3 linked regions of the Oryza sativa Japonica Group genome follow. The main gene of each other region encodes a partner of the protein of the gene in region 2 in a complex. Links are inferred from orthologs where the notes say so. Each region holds a gene or a part of one and is shown on either strand. Other genes may lie near its edges.

Region 1 (8,172 bases), on a different chromosome or scaffold from region 2:
CGACGTGTTTCGTGCGAAAACTTTATATATGAAAGTTGCTCTAAAATATCAGACTAATCCATTTTTCAAGTTTATAATAATTAAAACTCAATTAATCACACGTTATTACCACATCGTTTTACGTGAAACACTTAATCTTTATCTTCATCTTCATCTTTATCTTCAGGAAATTCAAACACCACCTTAGTATCCCAATTTAGCTCTATCGGTTGTCTCTCGCTTTAGGGTTTCTGCCGGTATCGGCTAAATTGTATTACTAGATTAGATTAGCTAAGGCATCTACCATCCTGAAAATCAGTCAAAGGCTTGATTGTCTCGATATTGTGTTTCTTTTCATACTTAGTGTTGCTTCAGTTAAGTTTGATCTACTAAGTCGTGCTTAGAACCATAATCTCTAGCCTGCTTGTTGACTGCCAATAAGGGTTTCATCGGGGTTTCAGCCGATGAGTTATCTGGATGTTGCATCGGTTTACAAGGATTGCATATAAGTTCGATTTAGCCGATCGCAACAAAGATTTTACTGTTTAATCTAATCTTGTGGATTTTATAACATCGGATCTCCAGCCGATGTATTCTTTAACCTTCAGATCAGTGCTTATTCTATCATATCATTGTTAGCCGATTGGTTTATACTGGATTAGATTGTCTCAAGTATCAGAATCTACATTGGATATATAGCTGATAGCTTCAAACCCTATTGCTATCGGTTGGTACCGGCATCAACTGGAACTACTCCATCGGCTCGTCAGTCGATAAGCTCATTGATCTGCTATTTGTATATCTTGTCAGTTGCAGGATCAAACTGACTGGCACGTCCGCATCTCACCAACCTTTGGACCTGCACTGGAGCTAAGCAGATATCCCAGGCCGTTGTGTTCATCAACTTAGTTTGCGCCAACACAGATCCGGCACCACTGGCCGAGTGCGGATTTTTCGTCGATAGCCGTGGAGTGAAGCTTCACTTTCTTTTATTGGCCGCCACCATATAAAGTAATAATTCGTGGAGTGAATGTTCACTTTCTTTTATTGGCTGCCATCATATAACTAATAATTGAGAGTGTCAAGCAATAGGGTGTCATATAATTAATAATTGGGAGTGTCAAACAATGGCGGTGCCATCATATAACTAATAATTAGGAGTGTCAAGCAATGGCGGGGTAGCCAAGTGCAGATTTTTCGTCGACAGCCGTGGAGTGAAGGTTCACTTTCTTTTATTGGCCGCCGCAATATAAAGTAATAATTCGTGGAATGAATGTTCACTTTCTTTTATTGGCCGCCATCATATAACTAATAATTGAGAGTGTCAAGCAATGGGGTGTCATATAATTAATAATTGGGAGTGTCAAGCAATGGCGATGCCGTCATATAACTAATAATTAGGAGTTTCAAGCAATGGCGGTGTAGTGGCGTTGGTGTGACATTTTGTGACGGTGTGTGAAGTAGCAAAATAGACAGTGGCGGATCCAGGATTTCAAAGTTGGGTATTCCCGTCTAAGCGCTGAGCCACTGGCCGCCCCTGCCCCTCGCGGCCGCCGGCCACCCAACCGGCCTGACCGCCTGAGCTTGGCGGAGTGGCGGGCGCCGGCCGCCGCCCTCCACGGTAGCACGGTCCAGCTCCCGCTGCCGGTTACCTCCTCGCCGCGCCGCCGCCTAGGTATGGGGAGCGGCGCGAAGGAGCCGAGCCAGGGAGGGATGGGTCACGGAGGGAGAGTGAGAGGGGGCCGTCTAGAAGAGTGGTGGCTAAATGGGTCAACTGATGTATGATAAATGGGTCATGACGGAGTGGGTCGGGTTGGTAGGAGGCGTTGCAAGAGGCCGGTTGGGCTGTGTATGGATCGAAGAATTGAGGATTTAGGTGCACTAATATGTGTACATGTGTATATACTAGAAGTATACTTGCTTTTTGATAAAAAAAAATAAGTTGGGTATTCCCGGGAATACCCAGGAATCATGGTAGCTCTGCCCATGAAAATAGAGTTGATCGTATGCGCACCCTAACTAACATAATCACACGGAAGTGTCAAGCAATAGCGTGTCATATAACTAATAATTGGGAGTGTCAAGCAATGGCGGTGCCGTCATATAACTAATAATTAGGTGTGTCAAGCAACAGCGGTGTAGCGGCGTCGGTGTGACATCGAGTGACGGTGTGTGAAGCAGCAAAATAGAGCTGATCGTATGCGCACTCTAACTAACATAATCACACAAACCATTCCTGAAGTCCAATTGTATACAAAAATCACACGATGTGTGAAGCAGCAAAATAGAGCTGATTGTATGGGCACCCTAACTAACATAATCACACAAACCATTCCTGAAGTCCAATTGTATACAAAAAACCGTAGACTCGTACGATGGCACCCCAAGTCATTCAGTTTAAGTTCCTTTTACTGCCAAAAAAAAAAAGTCACTCATGATGTTTAAGTTTCTTTTACTGCCACCCACCCGCCCCCACCCCCGAAGTCATGATGTTTAAGTTTCTATTACTGCCAAATCACAGCGATATGCTCCTCACCCACCCACCCCCACCCCCAAAGTCGCGAAAATATATTTGGTGCCGTCCATTACCAAGAAATTTTGTACCGTACTACCGTCCATTACTTGAGGGAGCTAAGAGCGGCTGCCATGGGTGTAAGATAAGCTACGGTCGTTTGCAAGATGCAGAGAATGAACGGATGGCAGAGCTTTAGGGTACAGTGACTGTATATCATGATCGCCTCAGATTAAATACAGTATTTTTTTTCCTAGTGGCACATTATCTCATAGAGAAGGCGTTAATCCCAGATTTAACATAGCTCCTAGGAGGAAAGAGACATGTAGGGAAGCATGCAGCAAAAAGATTATCAAGTCCAACACTGCTGAACCACAAATACAACAATTGTAGATATGCTCTCCATTATCAGGTTTCTTCAACCACCTAGTGTTTACTGAGTCAGGTTGCAGAAGAATGGTAATAAACAGCTACAAGAGGTACCTCATACTTAGCATTGCCAAATCATGTAGGAGCAACTGTTGCAGGTACACTACTTCAGGTCAGTTAACTAAGAAAGTTCAGTACAGCCACAAATGGAAGAAATACATTTGAAGTAAGGAAACACCGGTCTGTGCCTCCATCAGCCTCAAGCAGGTATATCACGGAAGTGCTTGCTTATGCCACATCTGGGGGAGAACCACCAGGAACCAACTGTATAGGCCAAACAAAAGATGAAATAGCGTTAGACATAGCAGGTCACACCGAACTTTTACCAAACCATTCATTACAAGTATTTGATCAAGATTTCTCACAATAGCTATATTGTTGCCGTTTAGGAGTATCTGATCAAGCTTTGTTATGCGACGGCCTTCAGCAGTGTATTCACTATAAAACAATCAGAGGATCATGAAACAACAAACATTAGACTATAATTTCATATTGAACATATACATATGCTAAATGTGCAAGTGAAAAAAACTAATAAACATCAGTATGGTTTTGCTAAGTGATTTCCTAGATGATACATTAGTTTGGCAAGGGTGATGGTGGTAACTTCATATTCAGCTAATAGGAATAAATTCCACCATTAGGTCCAGCATTTTATTAGGGGACTAGTGAAACATTGCACATCAACAGATCATATAGATTTCAGTCATGGTATATAATCAGATGACACAAACTCTAAAACACGCTCACTTCAGCCCCTTCTGCAAGATGGCTCAACAACCATCATTATGTTGCAGTATATGTTTGTGATATTTTTTGTTGTTAGGAAATACCTCTCTTTTTAAGAACATAGTTACAACATCCACATGTGCATTCTACAAACTACTAAGATACTGAATATGAATATTTCTAGAACTAATTCAGGTATAATAGAACATTGTAATATCGGGGAAAACAAAGTAATACATCAACACCTGGGAGGACTAGTATAAACTTAATGCAACAATTGTGAAGAGCTAGCACAAAATACATGATGCATCAGTATAACACTCATGGAAACCTACTGCCACCATCTGCTAAATATCTTTAGTCATTTTTACATGACCAATTCCCTCCTAGCTATCAACTATCATTCTGTCCTATACCACAAATAAATAACCATATAAATCATGATGAAAAGAGCTTGTCTTCCCTTCCGCGAGAAATAATATTCCCAAACAAGACAATACTAACTACAACGATGAACATGTTACTGCAGCAGAAATCCTACAAAACAGTGTGTTCCACTGCTGCAGCTTCTTTGGAATCAAGCGTTCATATCAGTTGATCTTAGAACAGACAGACTAGTGATTGCGTTACACCTTAAGTACTAAACAACAAATAAAATCTTCAGTTATATTAAGTATACTGAATTACTGATAAGAGCAGCAAATGTTATAATTATGTAACTTCATGAAACCAAGTCTGTGTGAGTTAAATTGAAGCACACAATGGGTTAACAATCATGACATGAGTACTGAAAGGATCAAAAATAGCTTGCACTATACCAACTATGATGATTGGTAGTATAATACAAACTCATGTTATACGAAATCTGCCTGATGACATGGAGGAAAGTAACCAACAAAGCAACAAGGTAGGAGCAATCTGGCATAAGGTGGGCAATATTTCTGTACTTCAGTTCTCAGAAAATCAAACAATGTTTTCTAAATATTTTAGCTAATTCCAATATCAGCACACTGAGACACAAATGTGAGAAACTGAGCTAAACTAATCTAAGAATCTAATCAGAAGAAACCGAAATTACCCTACGACTGTGACACCAAAATTACCCTACAAGAAAAAAACCTGGCGCGGAAAGTAGAAAAATAAATAGGGTTGAGAATTGGAAGATTTTTCACATACTACTCAGTAACGTCCTCGAGCACCATGTTGACGTACACATCGAACCCACAGAGAGTGCCGACGAGCTCCTTGTCACCCTTCATAATCACCCAAATCTTGGACCCGATGCAGCGGTCAATCAGCTCTGCACAAACCAAAGCCCGCAAGAACTGAATCAAGAACTCGAACCCCAAAAAACAAAATCTATCTGGAACAAAGTTAGCAAGCTAGGATGCGAGATTTATAAGAAACTAAAGCGAAGCTTCTTCCGCGCACCTGAGGGGAGGAGCTGGGAGGGGTTGTTCTGAGACATGGCGGCGGACGCCCTCTCCGGCGGAGATCGAGGTGGAAGCGGCGACGGGAAGGGCGCGCGCGGCTACGGCGGAGGCGATGCAAGAGTAGCGGCGCTGCGGCGGCGGAGGCTTCTGCTTTGGGTGGAGGATTCCAACTGCGAACGCTGCGCCCTAGCCGACTCCACCCACGAGACGTATTCTCCACCGTCCGATCGAGCAATCAGCCGTCGATTAGATATCACACTTTTTTTTTCTTTTGCTAGGTTTCAAGCACCATAGGAATAGGTCAACTTTAACTTCCTTATAAGTGACTCGAATCTAATCCATAACCCTCAACCGTAAAATCAGATAGGGTGACTCTCCGAACTATTAAAACCAGTGCAATTTGATTCCCTTCGTGGTTTTGGAAGGCGATTTTGCTGATGTGGCGCTGACGTGGCAATGTTGACATAGTCTTCGTCCCACGTGGCGCTTACGTGGCTTAGAATTAAAAAAAATTATTTGTGGAACCCATATGTGATTCAAACAAAAAAAATGACATGTGGGAATCGGCTGGTACGACGGCGCGGCGAGCCTCCGACCAAGCGGCTGGGATGCCGAGAGGCGGAGCGACCGGCATCCCGTAGAGCACCAACCCATTCTCCGGCGACCCTCCATCCGTCCTCGCCTGCAAGAGCGAGTGCACACATTAAAACACTCTTCGACTGAGCTCGTGCAGAACCGAGCTACGGGAGGATGATCACCTTGATGTCCTGCACAATGAACGAGTTCGTCTCCACGAGCCTCGAGCAACCTGAGCCGACGACGACTAGCTCCGGCGAGTCGTGGTAGTACCCCAACATCAACGCCGCCGGCGCTGTTCCATCAATGTAAAGGATCAAAGCGAGTTATAGCACTGAGATATAGTATGTGTTGTCAACAAAGACGATCTTAATCAGAGATTCAGAGTAACTAACCCAAAAAACAGAAGGCGAGGAGGGTGACAAAGCCGAGCGCCGCCACCGCCATGACTGTAAGTCATGTACCCTTCACCGGCGCTGGACTGACAGCAAGACGACGCGTAAGAGAAGCTATGAATCCTTGAACGGGTCACGGCCAAGGGGGATTTTGTGGAATCGGTATCTTAGCTGATGTCTCCCCCTTTTCTCTTCACCTTCTCTCTCGTGGAGCAATCGACGGGCAGGGACGGCGACAGTGGGTGGGAGCCGAAGCGGCGGCGGCGGTGACAGGCGGGAGGGCTAGGGGGAGGGCGCTGGAGTGTGTGGCGTGGAAGCTACCCCCTTCAGCGGCGGGGTGCGCGGGGGAGGCGTGCGAGCACGCTAACATCCCTCCGGTTCTTCTCGAAAGTCGGAGCAGGGTTCCTCCCTATCTCTACCATCTTCGGCGGAATCCTGTCGGTCAATTGGTTGTCAGCCAGAGCAAGCTGCTACAGTTCCGCCGCTACCGTCGCTTCAGCTCTCGCCGGCCACCACCACTCTAGCCCCCGCCACTGCCACTCCAGCCCGTGCTCCCCGTGGCCGACCGAAGGGGGGAGAAGAGAAAGAGAAAGAAAGAGAGAAGGGAGGAAGAGGGGAGGAAGAAGAAAGAGAGAGCAGGACATGTGGGTGGCCCCACAATTTTTTTATGTGTGTGAATGACAAACGGGTCCCACATATACGTTTTTAATTCAAATGCCACCTAAGCACCACGTCAGCGAAACCGCCCTCAAAACCACAAAGGGAGTCAAATTACACCGGTTTTAATAGTTCGGGGGCCGAGATATCCGGTTTTGCGATTTATGATCATGGATTAGATTTAGGTCACTTTTAGGGGAGACAAAGTGGACTTATTCCACGAAAATAATATTATTGATTAGTTGGGCTTATTCATTCCAAAGAAATATAAGTTGGGCCTAAATTCAAAAGATATAAATTAGGCTCAATTTCGAACAGAATTTATTAGTCGGCCTCTCTGACAGCCTTGGCCCAATTGAATTATTGGACAAAGCGGTGGGCCCACTGAAAACCCAGCCCAGATGGCCGACCACCGATGTGGTGATGTGGCCAGCACCAGCACGACACCGCACCTGACCAAAAAGCCCAGTCACATCCGCCCATGGCTTAGGCCAGCCCGCGCCGACGAGCTCCTCTTCTCCTCCCATCTCCACCACGCGCCTACCCGCACGCCGAGCTGTCGCCGCGTGTGCCCCCGCCTCGTTCCATCGCCTTCGCGTCGCGCTGTGCCCACTAAAACAATCCGGCCAGTTAACACTTCACACCCCCGCGCCCTCTCGTCCCCCTTCCTACGTGTCCCCCTCCCTGATCAAGAACGGATCACCGGCTCGGCGCCCCACTCTCTTCTTGGATCGGGGAGCGGGAGAGGGGGAGGAAGAGGCGGCGGATCAGAAGATTTGGGCGGCGGCGGCGGCGGCGGCGGCGGCGGCGGAGGTGGTGTGGGTGGGTGAGTGAGTGAGGAGTGATGGAGAAGGAGAGGAAGATGGAGGGGGAGAGGAGGGTGGAGGCGACGCGGCGGTGGGTGATCGCGGTGGGGTTCTGGGTGCAGGGGTTCCGGCTGTTCCCATGGCTGGGCGTCAACTTCTTCCTCAAGGACGGCATGGGCGTCGCCGCCTCCTCGCTGCAGATCCTCCAGGCGTCCGCCAACCTCCCCATGGTCGCCAAGCCGCTTCTCGGCCTCCTCTCCGACGCCGTCCCCATCCGCGGCCACCGCCGCCTCCCCTACGTCGCCATCGGCGGTATGTATATGCTCCCACTCCCACTCCCACTCGTTCCTCTCCTCCCTTCCCCCCCTGAATTTCCCGTCCCAGATCCAGAATTCCTCTCACATCTCAACTTTGCGCGGAACCCGTGTCGCCGAATTGTGATGCGGAATTATAATAATCTCAAATCTGTTCGTCTTGCCTGGGCGCGCCTGGCCATCCAATGCAGCATTTCGTTAGAGCAGTATGTGAATAACTGAATATGCATAGCATCTCCATCTTTAGCATTAACCTCACTGCACATTCTTTTCTTGCATTTGTTTGGAGGCGCATCACCTAATCCTGTGGCAGCTGGCGACAATGGCATCGCCGCAAAGGAT
Region 2 (8,149 bases):
TAGTTGTGGCACTGAGTTCGTAACAATGCAACACTCAGATCAGAAACCTCTGGGATGCAAATCTAGTTATAGTAAAGTTAGACTCCCTAAAGCAGGATTTTTAGAAGATAAATCCACACTATTGTCAGAAGAAGAAACATAAACAAAGTGAAAGGAAACATCTCTCGTAGATCATTCATTATCTTATCAAATTTGAAGAACATCACTTTTACCAAAACCCTTGCAATAAAGATGCAAAAACACTATCCAAGGTTGAAAACTCGCTAAAACCTCCAGCACTCAAGCCTGAAACCCACTAAAAAAACCCCTCCTTTTTCAGTATCCCGCATTTCCGCGGCACGGCAGAAATTCCAATCCAAAACTGAAACCACCCCCCCCCCCCAATACCATGCCATCCTACCATAGGCCGGAAAACCCAACGAGGTAGGAGAAAAACATAGATGAACGAACCAAGCACCAACTTTTCACAGATGAAAAAAAAATCCGTCAAAAAATGCGCACCCATAACCAAACGCGAAAACCTCCCCCCAAACCCCCACCGACCATGGGAGCCAATCGCACATTCGGCGCGAGCGGATGGAGTCGAAACTAGAACACACACACACAGGGGGAGGGAGAGAGCAATCAGTGCGGTTACCGCATCCGGTGTCCCCCACGATGAGAGTGACGCGGTTCCCCTTCACCTTCTCCACGATCTTCCCCCGGAGCGCCTCCACGGCGAGCGGCGCCCGCGCCTCCCCCACCCCCACCCGCTTCTCCTCCGCCTCCGCCATGCTCCGGTCTCCGCCCCCACCGACGGCGGCAGATGCGGATGCGGATGCCTTCTCCTGCAAGCTTTTGCCCTCCTCCTCCTCCTCCTCGCCTCGCGCCCTCTTCCGTTGCTTGCCTTTTTTGAAGGGGAGGTGAGGTGGCTGCTACTACTGGGGCGTAGACCCGGTGCATGGACCCGGGCCCACTGGAGTGTGAATGGGTGGTGGGGCCCAGTGGGAGGGTGCACCAACACCGGGTCCACGGATCCACGCGCTCCCCACCGGGGGGTCCTCCTTTCTCGCGTTCGCAGCTGGCGACAAAACCGTCTTGCCAATGGGGGGAGAGCCCAGCGCCAGCCGGTCAACCACGAGTGACTCGGTTGACGGTCTCGTGAGAGGCTGACAGGTGGGGCCAGATGGTCAAGTCGAGTTGACTGGAGGGCCCACCTGTGTACAGTGTATACGTAGTAGGTGCATTGGTTGATCCACGCTTCCACCTATGCAGACGCATAATCCTCATGTAATCTGTTACTCCTAAATAAAAGAATATACGGAGTATTCATCTCTTTCGTTAATGGTGGTTATTAGTATCTCTTTTTTTTTCCTTCTCGACGCAATTTTTTCGAAGCTGTTTGATTCGTGAAGAAAATGGAGAGAAATTACCGGAACGTCTGCTTAGGCTGAGTTTTAGGGGAGAATATTGAGAGAAAAAGTGCCTCGTTGCTAAGCGTTGCATTTTTTTAAAAAAAAATCTATACAAAAGTTACTTAAAAATATATTAATCTATTTTTTAAAAAATAAAATAATTCTTACAATCTATTTTTAAAAAAATTAAAATAATTCTTACTTATAATTAGTTATATGTAAATGCATTCGGGCTGGCCGTTCCGTTTATCAGGGCAGCAGTTGCGAGAGTGGTCTACAGCAAGCAAGGTGTGACCATCACACGACATAATTTGTGCGGATCGAATTAAAATGACGCGCTGCTGTGAAACCAATTATATGAAAAACGTCTGCGCAAACACACCACCATTTTATGGTAAAATGGTGCGACTGTCTGAGACTTAATTCCTCCCTCCAAAAAAAAAACAAATCTAAAACATGTTAGACATTCTAGTACAACTAATCTGGATAGAGGTAATGTCTAGATTAGTAGTCCTAGATTGTGTAGGTTGGTTTTGTATGGTACTGAAGGAGTATCACTCAATAGTGAGAACATTGAAGCAGAGAGAATATTGAAGCAGAGAGAATATTGAAGCAGAGAGAATGCTCGTGGTCGGCATATGCGCCTAGGTAAAAGAGCACTCCAAGCAGCACAATATAGATATACTATTGCTGAACAATCAAGAACATTACCTGGCTCTCTGCGATGAACAGGTCAAAGTAATAACCACAATAATATTCAATATAGTCGAGGGTCCAGACATCAAACAAATTGTTTCGAGACAGGCCAACCGCTGCCTCTTCACTGGTAACTACTGAACCCATGAAACATTTTTCGGTCATACCACAAAATGATAAAGCAAAGCAATGCTTACTCCACCAGTCCATTCTTCACCCTCCTAAAGCAATCTATGTGACACAAAGCCTTAAAAAAGCGGCATTCCCACAAGTGACCTTCCCTCTCACCCACGTCCGCGGCCCCCACCTGCCATAGAGTACAAGCAGATTGGTTATCCCCTCAAAACAAAATACAAACTACTTTGGCGGTATAGTAGAGTCTAAATTCAAGCAAGAAGCATACCTTTGATGCCACCTTTACCTCCAATTCCTCCCCTTCCACGGCCACCACCGCCTTTGCTGCCACCATCATCCTGGCCACGCCCAATGCCTCTGCCTCCAGGCTTAGTACCTATATCACCTCTTCCTCTTCCGCGGCCTACACCTGGTGGCCTCCTATCTGCATTTAGAAGAGCATAGGCAATTCAGCGTTGAACTTAACTTCAAAAGATGTTCAAAAAGGTGAAATTCTCTAGTAATCAGAAAATCAGAATAACCATAATACACCAAATATAAGAAAAGAGGAACACGAGGGTTTCATGAATGACATCAACAACACTATAGATGTAGGATACTGCCTGTATCAATGTGCATTTACAGATTGATTTGATACTATTTACACTGTAAAGCGTAAACATGCAATTCATCGCTAATTTTTGAAGTATAAGTTACGTTATGTTTGTTGAAAATTAAGAACCAGCCCAAGAAAAGAACTGCAGTCGCATTACTACTTGCACGCATAAACGCATTTGCACTGCCACATACATTCAACTGATAGCACTGCCGCATATAATGTACTTCTTACTAATAAAAATTATGGGTTATGACAAAATACATCTCTTGGAAACTGAATAAGGTCAATTTTTTCTCCAATAATGAACTGGAATAAGGTTCAAGCAAAGGCAACTAATAGCACAAAATTATGATTTAAATATTTCATCAAGTTCACAGAAAATATTAAAACATCTAAATAATTACAGAGACAAATGTGATTTATAACAGCTGGAACCATTGGGTACATACCTGATCTGCTCTTTGAAGTCTCTTCCTGGACCTTGTCAATCACCTGTCATAGAAATAAATTCATGCATTTAGGATTGGAAAGCACAGGTAACAATGACAACGCTGGTGTATCATCATCATCATCATGAAGGTAAAACAGAAGTACATAACATATGCTGGAATGTCATGAAAAGACAAAAATAATCAATCGAAATCAATCAATCACAACCTTTCCCCATTTGATTCCACCAACTTTCTTAATACCCGTGCCCAACCCTAAAACTCATACTTTGGGATGGAGGTAGTATCAAGAACATCCAATTAGCTATTTGACCTCTAAAAATAAAAATAAAGAGTAATACAACAAAATGAACACAAGAGATATCTAACAAGAGATGAACTGATGGCCCTGTTCTATTTCAGGAATTAGTTGGTGAATGAACCATACGATCCTAACTCTGAACTTAACTATTTGGTTGGGAATGTTAATGGGTTGGTCCACTCCATCTCATCCCTCAAAAGTATCAAGTTTTGTAGAAAAATAAGGAAACCAACTAAATTGTGGGATGGTCCCACAATTGACCAACTCATCGTAGGATTGTTTGATTACTCAAACCAGCACATGAGGAAAATGCAATCTAAATCTCAGTGGTACAATAGTCCTATTTATGTCTGTTTCTTAATCTTAATCTCAGTGGTAAAATATGCAGCTTAAGATTAAGAATAAGGATAAAAGGCTGTCTAACTCCAGAAGATCGGGTAAAAAGTATTCTACCTCTACCATATCAATTTTCGATTGTACTTCCAGAATAGGGATTGAAAGGCTGGTTAAATTCAGAATTGATAACAAGTGTGGGCATATCCTGGCTCAATACATTCCCATTTGTGCTTTGCTTATAGATTTATGGGTTAAAAGTACTAATAACATTTATATCCATATGATGTAAAGTCAGCTACATCTATATGATGTGACCTAGGAGACATATATACTTAGGCCTACTATCCAGGTCACGGTTATGTGATATTTACTTCTCCATTATCTGAAGTTCTGAACTATTTTCAATGTTCCTTGGCTGTGGGAAAGTAGCTTTGCGTACAGCAGAGTTGGAACATAAGTTTTGTCACTATTCATAGCAGGAGAATTGTTTGGTGTCATATATCAGTGATTTGAAATCAAGAAAATTTATCAGCCCCTCGTGGATAGTTAACAGATAAAATGCAGAGTGATTTGCACGTAATCATATTAAAATGCTCTGCTTAGCTTAAGAGAGGTCCTCATCTGCTCAAATCACTTAAAAACACCATAAGGCAGATATCTTAAATGGCATCAAATAACTTACATATATCTAACGTGAGAGATTACTCAGACAAAACAAGAGACACACTGGCACCCATAAAGATCTAAAAGGGAAAACAAAACTTGAAACTGAAAGCTGACCACAAAAAAATTGCACACGACATAGTGATTTTGCTAGCAATTATGGTGATGAATGCTAACAGGGAAAAAAAAAGGCTGATTATGCAGATGGAGAACATACATGTCTAAACATACAACCAGCAAACCACAAGCACATAGTAAACAAGGTTTAACATGTTAAAAATCCATACCTCATCAGGAACCCGAAGATACTTGATGGTGTTCCCACGGATGTAACATTCTGGCATCCTCCAAAACTTATCACCATCCTGCAATGACAACCATAAACAATGAGGAAACAGCATTCATCACAAACTAAACGATCAAACCAATTGGAACCAAATGACCCAAAAGAGAACACACAATTCGAACTATAAGTTCCTACTATCTGTCTATCTCCACGTCAAATTCCAAAAAAAATATGAAGACTACTTTAACAAATGGCTACTCCCTATTTTCCCCAAATCCAAACAATGCCACTAATCTTTTGTCCCCACTAAAATCTACAAGCGAAGTGGGTCGGGGATGCGAGATTTCACCTTTGAGGTGCAAATAACCTCCCGGAGGTGGATGTTCATCCACGTGTCGCAGTTCACCAAGTGCCCGTTGTACGTCTCGCCGTTCTTAAGCTCCACGAGCTAAAAAAAAACCACACAAAAGTTTCAAACCCTAGCCGATCAGAAACCAAACCAAACAACCACCACGCACAGCGCGAAGCGGCGGATCTTCTCTTACCATGGGATGCCCCTGGGCGGTCTTGAGGAGCGAGAGCGGAAGCTGCAACCACAACACAAACACAGAATCAGACACGGCCGCATTAATTTGGGGATCGAGAGGGTACAGATTGAGAAATAGAGAGAGAGACGAACCATCTTGCGCTAGATCCGGAAACAGCGATGCCGGCGGGGGAGGAGGAGCAGATCGTCGCCGGCGCGGGGAGGAAGGCGGCGGCGGCGGAGGCGGAGGCGGCGAGAGGAGGGGGGATTCCGGGGGGTCAAAACCCTAGTCGCCGCCGCGGGCTTGTTGGGTGGGGAGGCGAGGCGAGGGGGGAAGAGCTCGCGAGCAACGAAGAAAAACAAGAGAGGGTCCCGGACCGAAAGAGTTATGTACACGTGTCCCAAATAAAAGTTCAAGTTGTTATAAACCGCCTATATATACGAGTAGAGACTATAAAGAAAACTGCCGTAATTTTAAAGGATAAACTTTCAAATCTTGTAATTGTAATATAATTTTACTCTAACTATAATATAACTTATATATAAGTATTGAAATAATATATATAATTTTTTGTCTAACTTATATGGTGGTTATAATGTAGTTAGTGCAGTTACATTTTACAATGTACTTTATACAGAGATTACGATATAGTTTCTTATAGTGTAACAATATTGTAGTTACACTATAATTATACTATAGATATTTTTTTTCCAAAAAAACTTGCGACAGTATTTTAGTAATTCTGATACCCGGTATACGACTCCTTTATCCTTTTCAAAATTAGGCATATATGGTCTATTTCCTAGAGGAGAAAAACTAAAGTCCCTCAAAATAATTTTTTAAGGAAATTGTAAAAAATACTAGTACTACATTTCCAAAATATAATTTTATTTGTACATAGAGATTATAATTGTTATCAAGTCATACGACTAGTCACGATTTTAGTGATAGATTAGTTGTAAAGTTGGTCAAGCTAATCGACTAGAGAACCACGTCTCGTCCAAACAGCAAGTCGTGGTTCATCGTAAAGTCGGTTGCGAATTATTAATTCGCCATGCTAATTAGCTTGTTGTGTTTAATACTTTAGTTTTATTTCTTGTTGATTTATTGTCTTGCTACTATAGATCATAATTTATACTTTATACAATGCTTAGTATAGTATAATATTAGTAAAGACTATATGTTGCATCCCTGTTTTTGCATGGGCAAGTCATCAGCTAGTGATGGACTAGTTGACCAATCGGTCCAGGGTACCTCGACTTGATTTTACGAGTTGGAAACCATGGAGATTAAGGTTAAAGAGAAAAGATTTCGATGTCCAATATCAAGGCCTAGTTTGAATCTTCAACTTAGTTTAGCTTTTTGGTGGCACTCAAAACAGGTAAGCCAATATCATATAATTAATTGAGTATTAATTACCGTAAAATTTAAACTTAAACTTATTTGATTTTTTTAAATAACTTCTATATAATAAGTTTTTGTAAAAGAAAACATTTAACAGTTTGAAAAACATGTTAAAAAAGATAAAGTTGCATTTTAGAGTTGAATAAACGAATGCGGCTTAAATAAGATATGGTTAGGGGCAAGAAAGTGGTTAAGGAAGAGATGGAAAGAAATTTTAATGGGAAACAATTAAAATAAGTAGTACTTTATACTTTATAGTGCTAGGAGTGTTTATATTTTAGTGCAAACTACAAATGTTGGTGGTTCTTATATTTTGAAACAAAGAGATAGTTCAAAATATATCATTTCGGTTTATCAAAATTATAAAAGTTGGTTCTCTTGATCATAAATATTTGACGTTTGTTATAAGATTTTGTTGATCATCACATAAAGACAGGAGTCAAAAATTTGTGTCTCGTCTCCTCCCCCTTCAACATCAGCAAATAAATGTCTAGGTGATATCACACTACTTTATACTACATGTCATGGGTTGTTGACACTGCATTCTGACCACCAAAGCCCATTCAAAAATTCCCTTTGATTCAGAATGCAGTATCAGGTGTGAGCCAACTCAAAAGGTAGCACAATCTTGATGGCGCATACGTGTGAACCAACTCAAACAGAGGCACAGCACAATCTTAGCATTGCACTCGTTGGGACAATCAAGTAATTGAACTAGCCAAAATTCATATAGCTAGCCATTGATTGTGCAAATAATGAAATATGGTGCATGGCGGTTGTAACTTTTACTGTGTAATCCACTCACTAAACTATGAGAAGTGAGAACACATGAAAAGAAAGTAATGACACCAAGTTAAGTAGTAAACTGCAAACCGTGTAACATTTGATATGACTTAATTACAAAATCAAAACAACAGTACTCCAGTTAGGACTCTAAAAGAAAACATATTCATATTTTTCAAGGGACCATTTTGTACAGTGTGTGGTCCTAGCTTCAAAGACTTTCCCTATCCTCTCTTAAAAAGGGGAACTAATCATGTCCCCTTTCCTTGGTGCATAAAGTTCCTAGGTACATTGACTACACACAAAGATGAAAAATGACAGCCCAACCACAGTTTGGTGGCATTACCAAATGACTATTTTACTAATTGCACATAACATGTGTTGTTATAGGTAGCTAAAGACCACTTCCATTAACCCACCTTGAATTGATCCTCTCAAACATGGGTCATTTTCACCAAATATGCAATCTTTTATTTTTGGGCCCAAAAATGTTCTTTTTTTCAAAGTAACACTGATTAAAAACTGTCCACCATATAGTGCCTGATCTGACCCAAATAAAATGAAATAAAATAAAATC
Region 3 (8,105 bases), on a different chromosome or scaffold from region 2:
GGATGCACATATATATATGACTCGATCGTGTGTCCAGATAATAAACAAGATAAGCTACTGCATGTACTGCTACTACCCTATGTTAATTGTACGAGTATTACGTATGGACGGTGCCAGGGGCACACATCTTCATTCATGATTTCATTATATGGATGATATGCATGCATGTTGCTTACTGGAATACTTATATATACATCCGGACACGTAGGTCTTTATATACACATCATCTTCATTTAATTAATTAGTTAATTGATTGATTTGATTTCATATATAATCATATACAGTATGGGGTAACTTGTCTTTCGTCGTATATTAATTCCTAGATAGCTACGTAGCTCGATCGATCAGCGGCTGGTCGGCGCCTCTCGAAATCAACAACAACGTATAGGTAGGAGTAACTAAATACTACTCTCTGTCCCAAAATATTTGGCGCCGTTAACTATTTTTTAAAAATATTTGACTGTTTGTCTTATTAAAAAATTTAAGTAATTATTAATTCTTTTTATATTATTTGATTTATTGTTAAATATACTTTTATGTATACAAATAGTTTTACACATTTCATAAAAGTTTTTAATAATACGAACAGTCAAACATATTTAAAAAAAGTCAACGTTAAACATTTTGGGAAGGAGGGAGTAGTATATAACTAATTATCTCTGTTTTGTTTCCTTATAATTAGCTGTTGGTGCATGATCAATCGCCCGATCGGAGGGTGAATCCGATCGAGCTAGTTTGGTCTACAGCGCGCGGCTGGATGCATCATATCGATCATATATATCGGCATATATACGTACACACACTCCGACCCAATTAAAGAAGCAGAGCAAGGGAAAGCGTAAGGCATAGTTAGTTTTCCGAGCAAAAATCATTCAGCAGCCATACAGCTTTTCCGGTTAAAGAAGCAGAGCAAGTGTAAGGTAGTAGATACAAAGCACATATGAGCTTGACATGCATGATTCTTTGATCATCACGTACTAGTATAATGTAACGTAACGTCGTATGATTGATCCGCTAGCTAAGCTAGCTGGTCGTTATTGCGAACCACAAGTATATACTACGTATATAATCTGTCATATATATGCAGTCGTAGCTAGCATATATTAACGGTTTTTCTTACAAAAAAGATAGCATATATTAATCTGTCATACTCATAACCATGTCAAGTGGCGAAGAAATTAAAACAGATATTAAGTAATTGAAAGCAAAGCGGCCGCAATTAACGCAACAGAACAGAAGAGGGCCCCGCGACCGCGAACGATCGAGAGTAGAATGTCCAGGTGTGTGGAGCCTAGCCTAGCACAAGGCGTACACACGAACAGGCCGGAGAGGATGGATGGAATCCAAGCCAAACAAAAAAAAAAAACATTCCTTCCGTCCGTTGGCCGTTGCAAACAGGTGCTCCGTAGTTGTAGAAGCAGACGAGACACGGCAGGCAGGCAGCAAGCTGGTAGAGCCAGAGCCCAGCCAGCTGCCCTGCCAGTGCCCGGGGAGGTTAGGCTTTGTTGTTTGGACAGAGTGGCCGTGCGATATGATGATATGATCGATGCAGAGAAGAAAAGAAAAACTGCCTAAACTTGGCATTGGCATTATTAGTTCGTTGTTTATGGTTGGAAGAGCGAGAGGCAAATCCAAGAAAAGCAAATGGCAAAAGATGAGCTAGGATATAAGAAGCCCATTAGCACTATTGGATTGGATCGGATCGGCGGGCGGCCTCGTCCTCGTCGGGACGACGGCAGACAATGGCCGCCGCCGCGATGATCCTCCCATTACTATTGCTATTGTGTTGGTTTCTGCTGCTGTCTGTGGGCGACGCGATGTGTTGGTTCAACGACGACGCATCAGCATCGGCACCAGCGGGGTGGTTGGTGTCGTGGACCAATGGGATGGGTTGGTACAAGGGGATGCCGCGGGAGTTCGTGGACGGCCACAACCAGCTGCGCGCGCGCTACGGGCTGCAGCCGATGAGGTGGGATAACAAGCTGGCGAGGCAGGCGCGGCGGTGGTCCGACGCCATGCGCGGCGACTGCCAGATCCGCCACTCCACCGGCAACAGCTTCGCCGAGAGCCTCTACATCGGGAGGAACGGCTGGAACGCCAGGGCTTCCGACGCCGTCCGATGCTGGGGCGACGAGGAGCACCTCTACGACAGGGACACCGGCAAATGCACCGCCGGCGTCGACTTCCACGAGTGCGGCCACTTCGCCTTCATGGTCAGGCCCAACTTCACCAGGATCGGCTGCGCCCGCGCCGAGTGCTTCAACGGCGGCGTCTTCATCACCTGCAACTACTTCAAAGACGAGCAGCACCAGCCGGCTACCCCTCCCACCTACTCCTAATATGCTCTTCTTCTCTTCAACAACTGACCTGCCTGCCTTCCTCATTCATGTACATTGATACAGCTGCACAAACAATACAATACAATGGAAACCAAATCTTCACTCACTGAGTCACTGTGTCTGTGTTCGTGTTCAACAAACATGCATCACCCATCCACCACCACATAAAACCATAACATTCTTCTTCATGCTCGCTCATCCGCTTGCTGGACTTCCTCGCGTACGTTAAAGAAGTTCACTCATCGGCAACACTAGCACCCACTTCTTCACAACTTCTGGGACAACACTACATTTAGGTTTAGCTTACTACTAGTAGTAGTACATCATTCATTCGTTTCCATTAGTGGATCACGGGCTTCAGCGGGTGCGCTCTCAGATTCGATAGATCCAGCCTCGCATCCAGTTCTTCATCCACCTCCCCCACCACGCTGCTGTAAATATGCATCACCCACGGATTCAACTTCAGTTAGGCACACCACCAAACAAAATAACACATCCATAAACGACCTCCATGCAGGTAATTAATAAGCAATAAACAGCTCAAACGACAATTGAGGAAATAGCTTACATGTTGTCGCCCCTTATGATGTACAACCCAAGAACAAGCTGTTGCACTCCCTCCTGCAGGTACAACACATTTCTCTCATCACTACTCAAAATTTCAACTGTACTACTAACAGCACATGCCACAAACTAAAAGCATGACAATTTAAAGGCATTGGCCCCTAGTCCTTAAGAAGGCATATCCCATATTCAATAGAGAGGTGCATGATACGAGACATATAACTATTCATAGTCAACATTGCCTGCAAATTGTTAGAACAACAACTCTGCACCATAAAGAACAAAGACATTCCAATACCTAACTATTGAAGACAAAAAATAATATGACTTCTGAAAAATTGAACGTGCACAAGGTAGAATTAATCGAACCAATCCTTGAAGAAAAAGGTGCTGTTATGACAAATTCAGCTAAAACATGTTACAGTATAAACTCATTATTTTGCAGGAAACGAACTTCAGTTCATACTGACAGTAGACATGATGATAGATACGAACAGTCAACAATATGAACTCATTACTTCATGATGACATTTATAACCATCATGAAAGAGAGCCATCTTTGAAAACAATCTGTGTTTAGCCATAAAGGGTACTGTGTAATACATGTTGGCAACTAACTTTCAAGCACCATGAGAGAAACTTATTGCTGATTGCAGAATTCTGCACTAGTGAACCAATGAGAGCATTTGACAGCAAACCAGGGAGAAGGTCACAATTAACAAGGACATACTGGAATAACAAAAAAAAATTGTGTGGCTGAACTTGTAGCCTTAGCAAACAGGCAACTCTATGGAAAATGCCAAACAGACTGTGGTAGAGATTCTAAACGCAGAAAAATTTAGCAGAGTAACTAACTGTAAGTATGACCGCCTTGTAAACATAACTTTATGAAGATGGAAGTAAAGTGTGTGTTGCCGGATTATCAGGGCATATAGTACTAGCTTAGTGAAATATTGATATTGCTGTAAAATTAATTGAAGGTTTGCAAGATAGCATGAAAGAAGCGTAGAAAGAGTTGGGAGCAACCCTACCCTGGTAGAATAGACCCTCTCATGGGACTCATCGAGGATGATGTTGGTGGCTTGATCGAATCCTCTGAGTGTCCCCTGACGAAGCGGAGGCAGGGCAATTCGAGTGAGTATTAGCGAGAGCCAAAAAAAACAAAAAAGGTGTACGAGTAGATCAAACAAGGGGCTCACCACAATGTTGCGGCCATCGTTTGTGATGACGGATATGATCTCTGGAGAGAAAAAAAAAACATCATCTATCACTAGTAATAGTAGGAGGAGGAGAATCTTGGGTAGCTGGGTGAGATGAGATAAAAAAAAAAGAGGGATGAACTCACGGTCGACGAGCGATTCGAGCCCCGGGCCGGCGGACGCCATCCTGTAGTTCAGGTGGAGTGGGGTGATTGGGGAAGCCGCCGCCGCCGCCAAGGGGATCGCCGGAGTTGAGGGGATGCGGCGACGATTTGTGTTTTGGAGAGAAGAAAGAGATTGAAAACCCTAGCTCAACTTCGTCTTTGGAGTTGCCGAGCGGGCTTTTATATGGGCCATCAAATGCGTGGGCGGGCCTCTCCAGCCCAGCTAAGAGAAGCCCAGCCCACCATGAGAGATCCTTCTCTGCTCCCCCTCCCGTCGTCATCGCCTCCCCAAATCACATCACATCGCGTCGGAGAATCCCTCTCCTCCCGTCCCGCCGCCGCCGCCGACGACGACGACGACGTCCAGCCCTCCTCCGTAATCCCCCACTTGTTGGTGAGTGACTGAGTGGTGACCAACTCTTGCTCCATTGTTTCTAAGATATTTTCTTCTCCCTTGCCCTACCTGTTCCTCTCTCCAATCCAAATCTCTCTTTCTAGGACGGCTGCTCCAATCGATTTTATTGCTCATGTTTTTCTTGGGTCCTTACCAGCAAAATCTTATAGATCACCCACCTATTTTGCTCTCCTTGCTTACATCTACATGTAAGAAAAAAAAATAAACAAACATAAAACACTGCACCATCCTGTAAGGAACTAGCCCCTGCAAACAAGCTAATCATTGACGAGTTTTATGTTAATGCGACTTGCTAGCTGCTAGGGTTTTTGGCTAGTCTTCGCCGTTTTTTGGGTCACGTTGGTTCTCCACTATGAAATAACACTACAGCAGCACAAAAGTAATGCAGTAATAATATCTTATAAAGCCCAAAGAAACCACCTTACAAATTACAAATCTACAAGCACGCAGACGCAGGAATTTCTTTATGTAAATACTAATTTGTCAGTTGCCTACGTGCTACTTGAAGATGCAAATACTGCACAACAAAGACTCTAGTGTACATAAATTTATAGATCTAGTCTTCTTTAATCCTTCACAAGTGCATTTTTCTGTATTTTACCAACACATGCGCATAATGTTTTCATTCTCATATGCACAAAGTTCTAAAGGCAGCTACTACTTTCAGACTACAGTACCTTTTGTTCATCTCAATTGGCATGCAGTACACTTCTGACAACTAGTTACTGATAACCTATTATACTTCACACTTGCTTGATTTTGTTCTATGTCCAATACTTTACTGTCCTTTTTACTGCCTGTTTTAGGGCCTGCACCTTGTGGTAGCCACTCTTTAATCAATGGAGAGCACAGAGCCCCTACAGGTAAACTCCTCACTTTGCCTTCTAGTGTTTCTGCAAGTATTGGTTTTTTCAAATACCGAATTTCCTGTTAGTGTTTAACTGCGATGATCGGTTGCTGTTGATTTGAGATCATGATTTAGCTGCTGCAAGTTCCATCTAAAATGACATTATGGGCTGTTTGGTTGGTATCAACACTTTGCCAAAAGGATAATTGAGGTTGTCTTTTGTGGTGGACAAATTCTCAACTATTCGCAAATCTTGCCAAGTAATTGAGTGTATGACAAGTGAGCCAGCTGGTTAAAGAAAGCCTGACAGAAAATGGCATTGGTAGTACCATGTTAATGGGCTGTTTTGTGTGTAATATGTACAAAGGCCTGAACCATGTTTGGACCAGTTTTTCATCGTACATGATACAAAAAAAGAAAAAAAAACATAGATGTCTCTTTTGTATACTAGGCAGTTTGTTTCTTTATGTTTTAGTTCTTTTCAGAAAACTGGGATAGAACTTCTGTTAATCTTTGCCTGCACTCTAAAAGGCCAAAATATTTAGCTAGCAATTTGTAGCAAGAAAATCTTCTGATAAGAAATGTAGGTTGTGTATAGTGAGCTTTCAGTAGTTCAGTGAACTGAGTTAATTTTCTGTTGCAGTGCATGGTGCTTATTGATCTATCTCAAATTAAGATCTTGTGCTTATTCAGAATCTTAATGACCTATATATTTATTTTTGCCATCTCATTTATCTCTGCTATGATATAACAAGGTGTTGAGCTTCTATTTAAAAACAATCTCTCATGTGTTTGTCAGGATATCATGTGCGAGTTTCGTGCGGGTAAGATGTCCCTTGATGGAACACGAGTGATCCCAGACACACGCAAGGGTCTTGTTCGCATAGGAAGGGTATGCATGCTAAAAGTCATACTTATCTTGAATTGAAGTTCTGTACTTCTATTTGTCCAGTATAACTTATAAGCCATTTGCATTCTCATATTTTATGGGGATTTGCAGTGCAGTTAACATATCCACTTGTTTGTAGGGTGAAGAAGGCTTGGTTCATTTTCAATGGCTTGATCGTGGACAGAATCTAGTTGAAGTTGTATCCTCTCGAGCATAGATAGTAGTTAGTAGTCATCGTGCACTCATTTTTTAATCTGCAAATACTGTACTTGTATGACTCGTATGTTTGAACTTTGAACTTGGCTGTGTCTGTTTCTCCTGATTTCCATTGTGTATATCCTAGGAAATTATCGTACTTTTGTATATCCTTGATTCCCTTTTCACAGGATCAAATTGTCTTCCCTGAGGAGGCTGTCTTTGAGAAGGTATTGAATATAGGTTCAAGTTTATTTTCTTCTGCAAGACCATCTTAGTGAACCTCTTGGGCTTCATTGATGATTGTAATTCAACTTAATCAGGTAACACAATCTTCTGGAAGGGTTTACATCTTGAAGTTCAGGCACGATAGCAGGAAATTCTTCTTCTGGATGCAGGTCAGTTGAGTGTGTGTGTGTGTATCTGTTTGAAAACCACAGAAGTCCTTCCACCAGCTAAAATTTACTTGTGTTTTGCTCTTTACTGTGCAGGAGCCAAGTGCTGATGACGACTCACAAATATGTCGCCAAGTTAATGCCTACATAAACCGACCATTAGGTATGCTGAACGTTGGGATCTCAACTCTTAATTATGCGCTCATTTTTCTTGTGTCTTAAGTTGTATGGGCGTGCAGATGGTGAGGCAGTTTCTATTGAAGCTGAAATGTCACATGAAGACACAGCTGATGATGACATCTCCTCCAGGTAATTTTAACGAACTGCAAGATGCAATGTGCAGCACAGAAAAACCTAGACGTTTGCATTGCAATCTTTATTTTTCAATGGGGCCGTCAGAGTAACAGATGGATGCACGTTCATTATAAACCACAAGTATATTCACTCCAATTTCATGCATAAGTTAACACTATCTATGTCTAGCTGAGTTTATTGTGCACTGCCTTTCATTCTTCCTATTTTCACACTGATATTTTTCCTGCTAAATATATATGAAAGTGTGGCCTCAATTTGTTCCTGATATGGCATTCATGCATGCGTGTTGAGTTTTGGGTATAATGAATTAATGACCATTTAATAATTCTAACCCCTTTGTTTCCTTCTTTCTTCTCATCAGAGCTGGGAATTTAGTTGATCAGAGCATGACTGCTGATTTAGCTGGTGAGGTGACATCTGCTGCTGGGCCAGTACGGTTGGAAGACCTGCAGAGAATACTGAGTGCTATACAGCCATCAGGTATCAGCTGAAAAATCATGTCACTTTTGAAATGTTCTTCCATTTGACCACCTTCTCATTTTATTTTACTTGCATTCGCCTTGTAATTTCAGATGCTGTGGCAGACCCTGATGCTGGTAATTACAGTACAATACTCTATTGATTCACTTTTCTTCAATGATTTGCTGTATGTATCAGTACTTTTAACCGCTGTAACAGGATTAGGATTAGGAGACATCTTGAAGCCTGATTTGGTGTTACCACTCATGGAAACTTTGCCCATTGAACAGTTGGCATCATATCTTCCAGAGGTTTGTAACTTTG

The links.
Region 1: probable U6 snRNA-associated Sm-like protein LSm4 (region 2) and sm-like protein LSM5 share a complex: the UniProt entries of both Arabidopsis thaliana proteins name them as parts of the heptameric LSM1-LSM7 complex. The link is inferred for Oryza sativa Japonica Group from reciprocal best matches to the Arabidopsis thaliana genes emb1644 and SAD1.
Region 3: probable U6 snRNA-associated Sm-like protein LSm4 (region 2) and sm-like protein LSM8 share a complex: the UniProt entries of both Arabidopsis thaliana proteins name them as parts of the heptameric LSM2-LSM8 complex. The link is inferred for Oryza sativa Japonica Group from reciprocal best matches to the Arabidopsis thaliana genes emb1644 and LSM8.

The regions. Positions count from the first base shown.
Region 1 is NC_089039.1:18,936,964-18,945,135, forward strand, and holds sm-like protein LSM5, read right to left. Parts: upstream 5,264-8,172; 5' UTR 5,118-5,263; coding exon 5,081-5,117; intron 4,950-5,080; coding exon 4,826-4,949; intron 3,359-4,825; coding exon 3,286-3,358; intron 3,185-3,285; coding exon 3,149-3,184; 3' UTR 2,871-3,148; downstream 1-2,870. Other genes in the region: probable folate-biopterin transporter 7, read left to right, coding at 7,555-7,828. UniProt on the Arabidopsis thaliana protein: Component of LSM protein complexes, which are involved in RNA processing. Component of the cytoplasmic LSM1-LSM7 complex which is involved in mRNA degradation by promoting decapping and leading to accurate 5'-3' mRNA decay.
Region 2 is NC_089035.1:8,580,626-8,588,774, forward strand, and holds probable U6 snRNA-associated Sm-like protein LSm4, read right to left. Parts: upstream 5,792-8,149; 5' UTR 5,541-5,791; coding exon 5,538-5,540; intron 5,446-5,537; coding exon 5,404-5,445; intron 5,307-5,403; coding exon 5,208-5,306; intron 4,938-5,207; coding exon 4,860-4,937; intron 3,316-4,859; coding exon 3,273-3,315; intron 2,650-3,272; coding exon 2,494-2,649; intron 2,398-2,493; coding exon 2,375-2,397; 3' UTR 2,077-2,374; downstream 1-2,076. Other genes in the region: zinc finger CCCH domain-containing protein 4, read right to left, coding at 638-773. UniProt on the Arabidopsis thaliana protein: Component of LSM protein complexes, which are involved in RNA processing. Component of the cytoplasmic LSM1-LSM7 complex which is involved in mRNA degradation by promoting decapping and leading to accurate 5'-3' mRNA decay.
Region 3 is NC_089039.1:29,805,954-29,814,058, reverse strand, and holds sm-like protein LSM8, read right to left. Parts: upstream 4,422-8,105; 5' UTR 4,289-4,421; coding exon 4,249-4,288; intron 4,144-4,248; coding exon 4,103-4,143; intron 4,010-4,102; coding exon 3,935-4,009; intron 2,961-3,934; coding exon 2,908-2,960; intron 2,771-2,907; coding exon 2,680-2,770; 3' UTR 2,420-2,679; downstream 1-2,419. Other genes in the region: pathogenesis-related protein 1, read left to right, coding at 1,743-2,339; 26S proteasome regulatory subunit RPN13, read left to right, coding at 5,521-5,544, 6,328-6,420, 6,557-6,616, 6,804-6,842, 6,936-7,010, 7,104-7,170, 7,247-7,316, 7,684-7,802 and 2 more. UniProt on the Arabidopsis thaliana protein: Component of the nuclear LSM2-LSM8 complex which is involved splicing nuclear mRNAs. LSM2-LSM8 binds directly to the U6 small nuclear RNAs (snRNAs).